Linked DNA regions of Anolis sagrei. The protein of the gene in region 1 interacts with the protein of each later gene in a pairwise test. Links are inferred from orthologs where the notes say so. Each region holds a gene or a part of one and is shown in the gene's direction. Other genes may lie near its edges.

What was found.
Region 2: the proteins of CSNK2B (region 1) and RNF7 interact in a two-hybrid assay, tested with the Homo sapiens proteins (2 studies listed by BioGRID). The link is inferred for Anolis sagrei from reciprocal best matches to the Homo sapiens genes CSNK2B and RNF7.

Annotation. Positions count from the first base shown.
Region 1 is NC_090022.1:19,659,958-19,667,806, forward strand, and holds the start of CSNK2B (casein kinase II subunit beta), read left to right. Parts: upstream 1-4,790; 5' UTR 4,791-4,900; intron 4,901-7,849. UniProt on the Homo sapiens protein: Regulatory subunit of casein kinase II/CK2.
Region 2 is NC_090023.1:236,793,487-236,800,804, forward strand, and holds the start of RNF7 (RING-box protein 2), read left to right. Parts: upstream 1-4,285; 5' UTR 4,286-4,378; coding exon 4,379-4,562; intron 4,563-7,318. Other genes in the region: uncharacterized protein, read left to right, coding at 1-86, 952-963. UniProt on the Homo sapiens protein: Catalytic component of multiple cullin-5-RING E3 ubiquitin-protein ligase complexes (ECS complexes), which mediate the ubiquitination and subsequent proteasomal degradation of target proteins.

The DNA of each region.
Region 1 (7,849 bases):
TCATCAGCCAAAAGCAGGCCCACACTTCCCATTGAAATACTTAAAAGTTTATATTTGTTAAAATTGTTCTTCATTTTAATTACTGTATTCTTTTAAAGTGTTTTTGCACTACAAATATGATATGTGCAGTGTGCATAGAAATTCATTCATGTTTTTCTTAAATTATAATCCGGCCCTCCAACAGTTTGAGGGACTGTGACCTGGCCCTCTGTTTAAAAAGTTTGAGGACCCCTGCTCTAGGAGATGTCTACGACAGACATCAGAAGAGCTGCAAGACCAAGAACAAGCCATGAAAGTAAATACAAAGATCCACGCAGAGGAAAAGTATTCTTACCATACATCAAGGGAACCACTGGCCACATAGGGAAGCTGATGAAGAAACACAACCTAAAAGCAATCTACAGACCCACCAAGAAAATGCAACAAATGATACATTCAGCGAAGGATAAGAGGGATCCTCTAACCACTGCAGGTGAAATGAAATGAAATTAAACTATGTCCCTGAAGGGACTCAGGGTGGCTTACAGCAAAATAAACACAGTGACAAACATTCGATGCTGACAGTAATATATAAACAAATCATGGACAAACTCTAAAAAACAATAAGATATAATATAATCCAAATAGTTCAAAAATATTAAATCCTTAAAATCTCTTTTAAAAGATATTTTAATGAGATTTTACCATAGACTGTGCAGCTGTGGATGAGTCTACATAGGGACTGCCAAACACAGCATTGCCCAGACATGAATCGAAGATCATGAAAGCCATTCACCGGGATTGTGGCGCAGCTGGCCAAGTGTCAGCTGCATTCAGATCACTCTGACCAAAAAAGGTCATGAGTTCGAAGCCAGCCCGGGTTGGAGTGGGCTTCCAACCAGTTGTGTAGCCTGTTGTCAACCTTTGCAACCTGAAAGACAGTTGCATCTGTCAAGTAGGAAACTTAGGTACCACCTTGTGTGGGGAGGCTAAATTAACTAATTTATGAGGCCATAAAAAAGACTCCAGCAAAAACACTCCAGCAAAAGCATGCAGGGAATGCGGAAGTACTTCTTCAGATACGTTGTATGCCAAAACTGGCATTGAATGTTTGCCATATATGTATACACTGTAATCCGCCCTGAGTCCCCTGCGGGGTGAGAAGGGCGGAATATAAATAGTGCAAATAAATGAATGAATAAATTCAAGCAGAGAAGTCAGCTATAGCAGAGCATTTGATGAACCAACCTGGACACAGGATAATACTGTATTTGAGAACACACAAATGGTGGGCCACTCTGACAACCACTCTGCTGAACCACTCTGAGTCTCCTTTGAGGAGTTAAAGCAGGGTATAAATATAATAATAACAATAACAACAACCATGTCAGACTACACAGAGAAGTCACTGAAATCCCCAAATATGTGGGCAACTTCAACAGAAAGGAGAAAACAATGATAATGAACAAAATCTTGTTACCAGTATTAAAAAAAAACACCCAAATCAAGACAGTAAATAAGGAACACCACTCAAAAACAGGGGAACTCCAGACATCAAGCAATCAAGTGCCAGCTAACACCTCACAAACAAAGGATGCTCCTGGGCAACAACAGCAAGGCTTTGAAACAGCAAGGCTACTCCATGCTAATCAAGCTGGCCAATTGCAACATTCACACTTGCTCCAAACAGACAAGAGTTCTTTCTCCTATGTGTAACACAATTTCTGTTCCTGGGTTTTAAATGTCATTTCCTAATTGGTTCTATCATAAAAACATAGGAAAAGTTTGTTAAACTGCAAAAACTGCAGGGACATCCTACAGCACATTTTGCGATAGTTTTTCAATGAAAATTGAGTCTCAATCAATTTAACAGTTTGTGACGGCCACAAAAATGGAAGTTTCTGGAGTGTAACACCTCCTTTCAAAGTATGTAAATGCTTTGGTTGCTGTATATTTTTCAGGCTGTATGGCCATGTTCCAGCTGCATTCTCTCCTGACGTTTTGCCTGCATCTATGGCTGGCATCTTCAGAGGTCTGCTGGCAGTGAGGCAAGTGGAGTGTATGTGGAATGTCCAGGGTGGAAGAAAGAGCACTTGTCTGTTTAAAGTATGAATGCTGCAGTTAGCAAGCTCGAATAGTACTGGGTAGCCATAAAGGTGCATAGTCAATCAGTGGGGGTATCTGCATAGAGGTAACCAGGGCTTTGTACCACACCCACTATTTGGGAGGTGTTAACTGGCACATGATTGTTTGGTATCTGGAGCTCCCCAGTTTCTGAATGGTGTTCCTTATTTACTGTCTTGATTCTGGTGTTTTTTAAACTGACAAGGGTTATTTCTCCCATCCTGGACATTATTACACTCCACTTGCCTCACTACCAACAGACCTCTGAATATGCCAGCCACAGATGCAGGTGAAACATTAGGAGAGAATGCAGCCGGAACATGGTCATACAGCCCAAAAAACTCACAGCAACCTGGCGATTCTGGCCATGAAAGCCTTCTACAACATAGAAACACAATGTTTCAAATGTTGTTACACAGTGTTACCTTACTTCTAGTCCCTTCAAACCATAGACTTGTGATAAAGGACACAGTGATTCTCAGAGAAATGTTCTCTCTAAGTGCCCTTCCACACAGCCCTATATCCCAGAATATCAAGGCAGAAAATCCCACTTTATCTGAGTGTGGACTCAGATAACCCAGTTCAAAGCAGGTATTGTGGGATTTTTTGCCTTGATATTCAGAGATATAGGGCTGTGTGGTAGGGCCCTAAGAATTTGTTAGGTCCTAGTGTAGAGCTTCTTTCAACCTTTTCCCCACTTGTGACCCCTTTCTAACCCCTAAAAATCATGTGACCTCAGGTATATAAAATAGGTATAAAAATAAATAATAATAACAAATCAGCATATGCCAGCTTATTTTCCATTCTATGAAGAACAACTGAAGCATTTTCAGCAGAGTCCACAGTAAACATTGCAGAGAAAGTTCATGTAAATGCCTAAAACAACGACTAGATTAGAGTTAGCCGATTTTTTCTGGACCCCAACATTGAGCAGAGGGCCCCAGTTGGGCTCAGGACCCACAATTTAAATCAAGGGTCCTCAAACTAAGGCCCGGGGGGCGAATACGGCCCTCTAAGGTAATTTACCCAGCCCTCGCTCAGGGTCAACCTAAGTCTGAAACGACTTGAAAGTACACAACAACAACAACAACAACAACAATTCTATCTCATCAGCCAAAAGCACACCCACACTTCCCATTGAAATCCTAATAAGTTTATATTTGTTAAAATGGTTCTTCATTTTAATTATTCTATAGTTTTTAAGTGGTTTTTTTGCACTTCAAATAAGATGTGTGCAGTGTGCATAGGAATTCATTCATTTTTTTCAAACTATAATCCGGCCCTCCAACAGTTTGAGGGACTGTGACCTGGCCCTCGGTTTAAAAAGTCTGAGGACCCCTGATTTAAACAATAATGTTCTAGTGCAGGGCTTTTAGGCCCCTTCTACACTGCCATATAATCCAGATTATCAAATCAGATAATCCACATTATCTGCGTTACACTGGATTATCTGAGTCTACACTGCAATATAATCCAGGGCCCTTCCACACAGCAATATAACCGAGAATATCAAGGCAGAAAATTCCACAATACCTGCCTTGAACTGGATTATCCAAGTCCACACTGCCATATATTCCAGTTCAAAACAGAAAATGTGGGATTTCCTGCCTTGATATTCAGGGATATAGGTCTGTGTGGAAGGGCCCAAAGGCTTCCTTTTCCCTCTGCAGAGGCTGAGGGCCCTTCCACACAGCCCTATATTCCCAAATATTAATGCAGGAAATCCCACAATATTTATTATTTATTCATTTATTTACTTCATTTGTATACCGCTATTCTCAGCCCTAAAGCGACTCACAGCGGTTAACAACAATCAAGCAAAGCAAGACAAGGCAAAACAATGAAAGCAAAAATTCAATGCGGCATCAACAAGGTATTTAAAAACAATCAACACAGAAGCAAACTAAACAATTAAACAGTAGCAAACATTCAAGTGGCGTCTCATAACTAGAATCATGATCCAAACTCGTCAATCGTAGTTCCATTTCCTGAATTCATTGCACTGCCTATTCAAACCCCTGTTCAAATAACCAGGTTTTCACTTTTCTCCGGAATACCATCAATGAGGGAGCCAATCTAATGTCCGTGGGAAGGGCGTTCCACAGCCGAGGGGCCACCACCGAGAAGGCCCTGTCTCTCGTCCCGCCAGCCATGCCTGTGTTGCAGGCGGGATCGAGAGCAGGGCCTCCCCGGAAGATCTCAAAGTCCTAGTGGGTTTGTAGGCGGAGATGTGATCGGATAGGTAACAATATCTGCTTTGAACTGGGTTATCTGAGTCCACACTCATATAATGTGGGATTTTCTGCCTTGGTATTCTGGGATATAGGGTTGTGTGGAAGGGTCCCCAGAAAATCAGTTTGAACTCTTGAGTCCACAGTGACATATATTCCAGTTCAAGGCAGATAATGTGGGATATTCTGCCTTGATATTCTTTAATATCAAGCTGTGCGGAAGGGCCCTTAAGCGCCTTTCATTTGCAGGTTGGGAGTTGTAGTTTCAGAATATACCAATATCTTTTGAAGCCGAGAGGACTTAAAGGTCATTTGGACTCCATTTCCCAGCGCGCCCTGCGGCCTAGCCCCTGCCTTTGAGCTTCCTTTCCCGTTGCACTCTGGGGCTTGGAGTCCCTCCTCCCTTGTTCCCCTGCGCTTTCTTGGCGCCAAAGAACTACAGTCCCGCGATGCTTCGCTGCCAGCGGCAGTGGCGCATGCGCGGTTGAAGCTGGCCGAGGCCTTAGAGGTCCGAAGCTTGTTTGCGGCCCCGGCTTCCTCTCCTTGAGGCAGTTTTGCCCCCTGGGGTGAGTTCTGAGGGGGTCGTTTTAGGGAGTTGCTCCTCGGGAAAGAGAGGCGGGTGGGGTGGGATTCAGGCTTCCGGGGGGCTGTGTTTGGGGAAGACATGGGAAGGGGAAGAAGGGCTGCGTGCCGGTCTCATGTTTGTGGCCAAAGGGTACGCATAGAGGTGAAGCTGCTTCTTCTCCTTTCCATGGAGGGAGAAAGGCCTCATTTGCACTACCATATAAGGCGGATCGAAACACAGGAAGCAGAAACGTACAACCTCCCCAAACCCTAGGCCCCATCCGCACTGTCACATAATGCATTATAGGGTTAGAGTCAAATCATATAATTCGTTCCAAAATGGCCATACAGCCCGAAAAACTCGCAGCAACCCAGTGATTCCAGCCTTCAACAACACAATGTGGTGTAACTGTTCTGAATTGTGTTGGGCGCCTCTACAGTGTAAACCAGGCATGGGCAAACACCCTAAATCAAGAAATAGTTTTCTGAGAACTATAGAAACACTCACAGGAACACCTCAGCAAACGAGAGTCCAAAAGTGGCAGGCGAAAACTCAGAACCACAATCCATGACTGATACCAAATGAGAGACTTCCTCCTGGGCACACAGAAAGCTTGATTCCACAACTCCCGTTAAAATGAGCCCTCCTCCGTAAATTACCTGCTTCTTATTTATTTATTTATTTACTGCATTTGTTGATCGCCGTTCTCAGCCCTAGGGCGACTCACAGCGGTGTACAACATATAAAAACAGTTTACAATAAGGGAATATCACAACAATAATATCAATATAGCAATCAAATAATACAATTACACTAAATCATCCGCGCCGTCTCATCGTAGAATCATATACCAATCTCATTATCCATATTCCGTTCCAGTCATCATTGCCAATTGTTGTAGCACTTAGTCAAACGCCTTCTCAAATAACCATGTCTTTAGTCTTTTGCGGAATGTCATAAGGGAGGGCGCCTGTCTGATGTCTACAGGGAGGGCGCTCCACAGCCGGGGGGCCACCACCGAGAAGGCCCTATCCCTCGTCCCCGCCAGGCGTGCCTGTGAGGCAGGCGGGATCGAGAGAAGGGCCTCCCCAGACGATCTCAAGGTCCTCGTGGGCTCATAGGCCGAGTTTTTAATTAGTTTAATTATCTCACCCGAGTTTTTAATTAGTTTTAATCAGTTTGTCTTTTTAATCACGACATGTAGCCTGCCCACTATTACTGTGCCTGTGCGTATTGTAATTTTTATATTGTTATGTATTCATATGTTTTATGTAACTATGATGATATTGTTTATTTGCGTTTTCGGTTTCTGTTTTTGGTTTTTCTTTATTGTAATTGTCATTTGAGCTTGGCCTCATGTAAGCCGCTCCGAGTCCCCATTGGGAAGATGGTGGCGGGGGTATAAATAAAGTTTATAATATTATTATTATTGGCGCTGAACAGACTGCGCTCTGGCACCACGAGATACAGAGCCACAAAGTGGAGTCCACGGCATGCGAGTGAGGAGAAGAGCAAACCACAGACCACCTATTACAAATCAATCTGAGCCCTGCTACATGCACAATGAAGGATCTTCTTATAGCAACACCAGAAGCACTCCAACTGGCCAGCTACTGGTCAAAGGACATTTAATAGAATAACAAGTTTGCAAACTTTCAGTTTTGTTTGTTTGTTTTTAATGCAATACAACTGTTTGGTTTGCTCCTGACATGATAAATAAATAAATTGGGTTCTTATAGGTTTTTCGGGCTATATGGCCATGTTCTAGAGGCATTTTCTCCTGACGTTTTGCCTGCATCTATGGCATCCTCACTACCTCTGAGAATACTTGCCATAGATGCAGGCGAAATGTCAGGAGAGAATGCCTCTAGAACATGGCCATATAGCCCAAAAAACCTACAACCCAGTGATTCCGGCCATGAAAGCCTTTGACAAACAAACAAATAAATAAATAAATACCATCAGATATACTATTTGAAGGGCAACCAACCGTGGCTGAAAGAAAAAGGACAAGTTTGTCCTAGACTTCTGTGCCAGAAACAAGCTTGTGTTGCTGGAAGTGAGCCTCTGGAGACCACTGAGCATTTCATCAGGGACTGCCCTTTGACCAAAGAGACCTGGCAAAAGGTGGCCATCGTCTTTGACTGGTCGGACTTGGTGCTCCAACCTTGGGATGCTGTGGCCTCTGGAATGGAGCTGGAAAACTGTATTTAGGGGCAACGTCGACACTAAGGAAGGAAGAGGAAGAGGGGGCAGAAGGCGTACACTCAAGAGGTCTTTTGGGATGTTCCTTGGTCACCGACAAGGTTGATCAACTTGTATGTTCTCCTGGCCCTGGTTTTACAGAGACGTCAAGAAATAACAACTCAAAACCCAGCAAATGTTACCTCTAGTGTAAATTGGGGAGCAGAGAAAATAAGAGCCCTGAGTAAAACGGAACAAGGCAGGATGCCTTCTAACTGATGGAAAAGCTCTTGATACCATAAATAAAAATAAAATGGGCAAACTTGGGCCCTCCAGGTGTTTTGGACTTCAACTCCCATCATTCCTAACAGCCTCAGGCCCCTTTCTTTTCCCCCTCAGCCGCTTAAGCAGCTGAGGGGGAAAAGCAAAGGGCCCAAGACAGAATTGTGGAAGTTGAAGTCCAAAACACCTGGAGAGCCCAAGTTTTCCCAGGTGAAAACTCAGATAATACTGTTTCACTGCACTGAGCTGCATTATATGAATCTGCACTGACCCTGTAATGCAGTTTCAAATTACATTATATGGTAGTATAGATGGGGCCAAGGTTTGGGAGTTCTCTGTCTCTGGTATGTATACAGAGAGCCTTTAGTTGGTACATAACGGGCAAAGCCACTGAAAATAGTACCTGTGGAGCAGGACTTCTAGAGAAGCCTTTCACAGAGTTAGTTTCTGGGTAAGCAGGGAGAATAGCCAGGTGAGTTATGGT
Region 2 (7,318 bases), on another chromosome or scaffold:
TGGTTACCCCACGGATTTCAGCATCAACTTTTGAGCAAATTTTCATGATTTCCTCAAAAAGCAGTCCAGCTAAAAAAAGAAAGAAGGTAAGAAATTTGTTTCCCATAATTTAAATTTTTGACCAGGCATTTTTGACCACTAAGCAAAGTCTGCTAACTTCAGGGAATTTTAATTAAATGTTGTTGTTCATTCGTTCAGTCGTTTCCAACTCTTTGTGACCTCATGGACCATCCCACGCCAGAGCTCCCTGTCGGCCGTCACCTCCCCCAGCTCCTTCAGGGTCAAGCCAGTCACTTCAAGCATGCCATCCATCCATCTTGCCCTTGGTCATCCTCTCTTCCTTTTTCCTTCCATTTTCCCCAGCATCATTGTCTTCTCTAAGCTTTCCTATCTCCTCATGATGTGGCCAAAGTACTTCAACTTTGTCTCTAATATCCTTCCCTCCAATGAGCAGTCAGGCTTTATTTCCTGAAGTATGGACTGGTTGGATCTTTTTGCAGTCCAAGGCACTCTCAGAACTTTCATCCAGCACCACAGTTCAAAAGCGTCTATCTTCTTTCGCTAAGCCTTCCCTATGGTCCAGCTCTCACATCCATAGTTGATTACGGGGAATACCATTCTTTTAACTATGCAGATCTATCCAGATTTTGCATTATCATTTATCATTCTGAGTCCAGGAAGAACTGGAAATGCATAGAATAGAGGAAGAGTGTCATCTATTCCTTCTCCTTCTAATAGATTATTGGTGTTATTACTATTGGTCTGCAACTGTGTATATGCAATCCCAAATTTTGTCTTGTGTTATTATTCAGCCCATAACAATCCATTTACATCATCAAGTTATCTGCATATTTCCTCCCGTTGAGTGCTGGGGTTGGGCTATTAGCTTACTTTAACCAATACCAAACCTTGCTGAAATTTACTGACATTTGCTTTGTTTTTATTTTACAGAAAATTAAGTGATTATAAAGTTTCCAGAAGATATAAAATTCAAGAGGTTATCAAAGTTCAGCAATTCTTTACATGATGCTCTACTTTTGGAAATACTATGTTGTGTTCTCAGTTTCTTCTTATGAATATCCAGAATAAGTTGATACATTTTTAAATTTTTACAAGCTTTATTTATTGCATTAAAATAAAATTATGCAACTGCCTACAAATAAAAACTAAACACTCTACATAGCAACTTAACACCCACATTGGCTCTCTTCAACTTGTATTATTTTGAAGTGGGATGTCAGTGTTATTTATAAATAACAGTGTATTATTTATAAATACACTCAGTGTATTGCGAAGTTTATATATCATCATCGGCTTTGTTTGTATGCTAATTATGTAACAAAATATATATTATTTCAGATGAAGAACATTTTAAAGGACCATCATAATTCATTCTGTCTTATCTTGGAGGGGAAAATGTACTGAGGTTGGGCTGGCTGCCAAAGAGCATGACTGCCCAGTTCTGTAGCTCCTTCTTTCACTACTTAGTCAAAATAAATTAATACCCTTAAAATGGTGAAATTATTACAACAAAAATGCAGTATTGGCTGTGGGGCATAACAGAGTACCCACATACACAAAAAGATTAATATTGGAAAGCTTTCTACCTGTCACAAACACCAATTAATTGCAGCACTCGTACAAGTTTGTGGGCCTAAAGACGGCACTTGCCTCTTACAAAGCCTCTCAAGGAAGCAGAACACAAATGCGCAGTCCCAACAAAAGCTCTTTCAAAACCAAATTGCAGAAATTTGGGGCAGATTTCAAAATCTAAATCCTTTCTCGCTACTGCTCTAATACCACTGAATTAGAGCTACCACAGCTAATAAAACCCTTGATAGTATCCCCTAAAATTACTAGGACCTCCGGGATGGTGCACATGACAATCTTTACATTACAACTCAAAGTTGAGGATCTGGGAGGAATAATTTACGGTCCAAGAATGTTCCTGAGTCCGTAGAAGGCAACTACACAATGTTGGCCAGGGTTCTTAAACATTTCCACTTGGGACCACTTTTGGCCCAAGAATTGTTTACATGACCTCGGATATATTTGACATATAAGATAGGTATAAAAACCGAACATTTACTGATAACAAATCAGCATTTGTAAGTCTTGCTAAGCAGGCTGATTTTCCTTTACATGAAGTACAGCTGAAGCATTTTCTGTAGAGTCCACTGTAAAAACTGCACAATAGATCCATGTAAATATCTAAACATAGCCATAAGATGACAGTCAGGAAAAAAAATTGTGAACTGAACATTGAACTAAGGGGAGCCCATTTGGGGTCAGAGCTAGAGATGGGAAGGCCTGGGGGGGGGGGGGGAACCAGAAAAATGGGGGAAAGTATTTTTTTCAGTGTTTTCCCCAATTTTTCTGCCCTGTGACGGCGCGTCTGGCGCAACTTGTATGTAAATATATAGTTGAATTGTTTGGTTATCTACAGTTTTCTATCAATGTCGTTTTACATCGGCTAAATTGCTCCCCCAGCTCAATTGTTTGGCTCCACCCCTTCCTAGGGAGGAGGGCAGTGCTTTCTTTTTCATTCTACCACCAAACTACTCAACAGATGGACGTGAGAAAGGCTTGGCTCTAAGGCCTTAGTCAAGTCATCTTTTACCAAACATTCTTAAGTTTGTACTCTTAAGATTCATACTTCATGCCCAGCTCATCTGGATGACATTGAGGAATCTTAAGCGCCTTCAAACCAGTCCTTTGGCATCAAGAAGACGACTTTGTGCCTTCAATATAGGTCATTGGACTGGGGTTGTGAATGTTCCGACTTCACAGCCATTGAGATACAGGGAACTTGGAAGCTACTCAGCTGGAAAACTCCTTGGACCCAAGACTCCAGAGACTGTAATGTATATTTTCTTTACCTCTTTTGGAACATCAAGTTTAATGCCTTAGAAAGATAACTGCTTGTGAACAATAAAGCCTATTTTGAGTTATCTATAGTGTCTTGATTCTTGAGAGTTCCAGTTCTCTAAAGGAAGGCAAGAAGCAATCCCCTGGGGAAAAGACGTCACGTCCATGTTTCTTTCACTAAGAACTATAGCCCCCAGACAGCGACGGCATATGCCCCCTGCCTGGGCCAACTATTTTTCTTTTGTTTCCAGGTCTTCCCATCTCTAGGCAGAACTCATGGTTTAAGAAGCTATGATTTAGGCAGTCTTATCATGGTTTTCAGAACTGCGTCCCACAGAGAACTGCACCTTTAATTGCCAAGGATGTAGAGATGGCTCCTTACATGGTTGTCATGAAATCATAATTGTCATGCCTCCATGAAGATCCTCACTGTTTCCTTTATTTAAGTCCCATTTTTAGTTAGAGGGGATTCACATTTTATGTATAGTTTGTGAAGAGGCAGATAGATAGCCCCCTTTCCTTTAAGCCCCCCTCTCTCTGTCCCTTTAAGAATCCTCTTAAGGGCAGAGATTCAGGCTATACCCAGGCTTGGACAAACCAGCCCTCAAGGTGTTTTGGACTTCAACTCCCACAATTCCTAACAGCCGGTAGGAAACACTGGAAATAACACTTGGGCCCCCAACATAGGTAGGATTTCTTTCCATAAAGGGTACCTTCGAATTACGTACTATCTGGCATTCTCCCTAATTACAACTCTTTCTAAAGCAATAGGAATGTGATCAGTGACAAAACAGCCATGACTCTGACTCAGATGTTATACCGGGCATGGGCCAACTTGGGCCTTCCAGGTGTTTTGGACTCCAACTCCCACAATTCCTAACAGCCTACCGGCTGTTAGGAATTGTGGGAGTTGAAGTCCAAAACACCTGGAGGGCCCAAGTTGGCCCAGGCCTAGTGCCTGGCATCTCTAATGATAACTCTTTCTAGCAGTGGTTCTCAACCTGTGGGTACTTGGGTGTTTTGGTCTACAACTCCCAGAAATCCCAGCCAGTTTAGCAGCTGTTAGGATTTCTGGGAGTTGAAGGCCAAAACATCTTGGGGGCCCACAGGTTGAGAACCACTGTTAAAGCAATAGAATGTGATCAGTGACAAATAGAGGCATGGCTTTGTCTCAGACTTCATACTCAACCTGCAAAGAAAAGAAAGCAACTGGATTGCTGTCAGACCACCAACAAAGTGTTAGGAATGGTGGGAGTTGAAGTCCAAAGCACCTGGAGAGGCAAAGCTTGCCCAGGCCTGGATTTGGAGGCTCACAGGCCTCTCTTCCGGTTTCCCTGGCAGGCAAAGTGCCTCAGGTACCCGGAAGTGGGTGAGCAGTGTGGCTTTTCCTTCCTTCCTCCGGCCGGCAGGGGGCGCCGGCGAGGAGAGGAGAGAGGCGAGAGAGGCGGCGTGGGGCCTACTCGTCGTAGTCTCTCTCTTCCTGCTCCTGCTGCTCTTTCCGCTCGCAGCCATGGCCGACGTTGAGGACGGAGACGAGCCGGGCGTGTCGGTGGCGCCTCACGCGGGCTCCTCCGGCTCGAAGGCAGGCGGCGGCGTGGACAAGATGTTCTCCCTCAAGAAGTGGAACGCCGTGGCCATGTGGAGCTGGGACGTGGAGTGCGACACCTGCGCCATCTGCCGGGTGCAGGTCATGGGTGAGTCAGGCCTGGCTTGGTTTGGGGGCTTCTCGGCCTACGGGCACGGGCGAACTTAGGCCTGCCGCCCTTCAGGGATTTTGGGTAAGCGAGGCTCTACTGTATTTCCATGAACCTGGCCATAATTTGAAACCAACATTTAGGGCTTTGTTCTGAGTGCCTGTGGATCCCCCAGTGGCATTGTGGGTTGAGCAGCTGAACTTGGTGGTTCCAATCCAGGGAGCAGGGTGAGCTCCCGCTGTTAGCCCCAGCTTCTGCCAACTTTTGTTGTTGTTCATTCGTCCAGTCGTCTCCGACTCTTCGTGACCTCATGGACCAGCCCACGCCAGAGCTCCCTGTCGGCCGTTACCACCCCCAGCTCCCTCAAGGTCAGTCCAGTCACTTCAAGGATGCCATCCATCCATCTTGCCCTTGGGCGGCCCCTCTTCCTTTTGCCTTCCACTTTCCCCAGCATAATTGTCTTCTCTAGGCTTTGCTGTCTCCTCGTGATGTGGCCAAAGTACTTCAACTTTGTCTCTAGTATCCTTCCCTCCAGTGAGCAGCTGGGCTTTATTTCCTGGAGGATGGACTGGTTGGGTCTTCTCGCAGTCCAAGGCACTCTCAGCACTTTCCTCCAGTTCAAAAGCACCTTCGCTCAGCCTTCCCTAAGGTCCAGCTCTCACATCCGTAGGTTACTACAGGGAATACCATGGCTTTGACTAGGCGGATCTTTGTTGCCAGTCTGATGTCTCTACTCTTTACTATTTTATCGAGACTGGACGTTGCTCTCCTCCCAAGAAGTAAGTGTCTTCTGATTTCCTGGCTACAATCTGCATCTGCCAACCTAGCAGTTTGAAAACCTAGCAGTTCGAGGGAACCACTGACCGCATAAGGAAGCTGATGAGGAAACACAACATACAAACTATCTACAGACCCACCAAGAAAATCCAACAAATGCTACGTTCAGCAAAGGACAAGAGGGATCCTCTCGCTTCTGCAGGAGTCTACCGTGTACCATGCAGCTGTGGACAAGTCTACATAGGGACCACCAAACGCAGCATTGCCCACCAAAAGGTCGGTAGTTCCAATCCAGGGAGCAGGGTGTTAGCCCCAGCTTCTGCCAACCTAGCAGTTTGAAAACCTAGCAGTTCAAGGGAACCACTGACCGCATAGGGAAGCTGGTGAGGAAACACAACATACAAACTATCTACAGACCCACCAAGAAAATCCAACAATTCAGCAAAGGACAAGAGGGATCCTCTCACTTCTGCAGGAGTCTACCGTATACCATGCAGCTGTGGACAAATCTACATAAAAGGTAAAGGTAGTCCCCTGACATTAAGTCCAGTCATGTCTGACTGGGGTGTGGTGCTCATCTCCATTTCTAAGCCGAAGAGCCAGCGTTGTCCGTAGACACCTCCAAGGTCATGTGGCCGACATGACTGTATGGAGCGCCGTTACCTTCCCGCTGGAGTGGTACCTATTGATCTACTCACATTTGCATGTTTTCGAACTGCTAGGTTGGCAGAAGCTAGGGCTGACAGCGGAAGCTCACACCGCTCCCCGGAATCGAACCTGCAACCTTTCGATCAACAAGCTCAGCAGCTCAGTGCTTTAACCCACTGCGCCCCCTTTCCTTTTAGCCACCTCTCCCTGTCCCTTTAAGAATCCTCTTAAGATAGATATCTACATAAAAACTCCAACCATCACCCAAGTCAAAAAAAGAAACACCATTAAAGCCTTGGCAGACCGTGCAAAAAGAATCTGCGAACCCCACCTCCTCCAAGATGAACTGAACCACCTCAACTGGGCTTTACAGGCCAATGGATACTCCACCTCAGACATCAGAAGAGCTGCAAGACCAAGAACAAGCCACGAGAGTAAAGACAAAGACCCACCCCGAGGAAAAGTGTTCTTGCCATACATCAAGGAAACCACTGACCGCATAGGGAAGCTGATGAGGAAACACAACATACGAACTATCTACAGACCCACCAAGAAAATCCAACAAATGCTTCGTTCAGCAAAGGACAAGAGGGATCCTCTCGCTTCTGCAGGAGTCTACCGTGTACCATGCAGCTGTGGACAAGTCTACATAGGGACCACCAAACGCAGCAGTGCCCAAACACGAATCAAGGAACATGAAAGGCACTGCAGACTACTTCAACCAAAGAAGTCAGCCATAGCTGACTTTACGGCCCCGGCCCAGCGTACCTGTCCAAACGTATCTCCTTCTACGTCCCACCTCGGAATTTAAGATCGTCTGGGGAGGCCCTGCTCTCGGCCCCACCTTTATCACAAGTGAGACTGGTGGGGGCGAGGGACAAGGCCTTCTCGGTGGTGGCCCCTCGCCTGTGGAATGCACTCCCCAGGGAGATTAGGTCATCAACATCCCTCCTCTCCATCAGAAGGAAGTTAAAAACTTGGATGTGGGACCAGGCCTTCGGGTAAGCTGGCAGTGGACAAAAGACAATGACGACCAGAGTAGGAAAGGACAATGACGATGCTAGAGGGATCATGGATTTATGAATCGACGAACATTGGCCACAATATGTTTTTATTGCTGCGGCTGTATTGTTTGATTGTTTTAATTAGTTATAATTGTTGACGATATATTGTAATTTGTATGTTGTATTTTATGAATTGTCAGGCATCGAATTGTGCCTTTTGTAAGCTGCCCTGAGTCCCCCCTAGGGGGTTGAGAAGGGCGGGGTAGAAGCACGCCAAATAAATAACTAATAAATAATAAATAAATAGCAGAGCAACTGATGAACCAA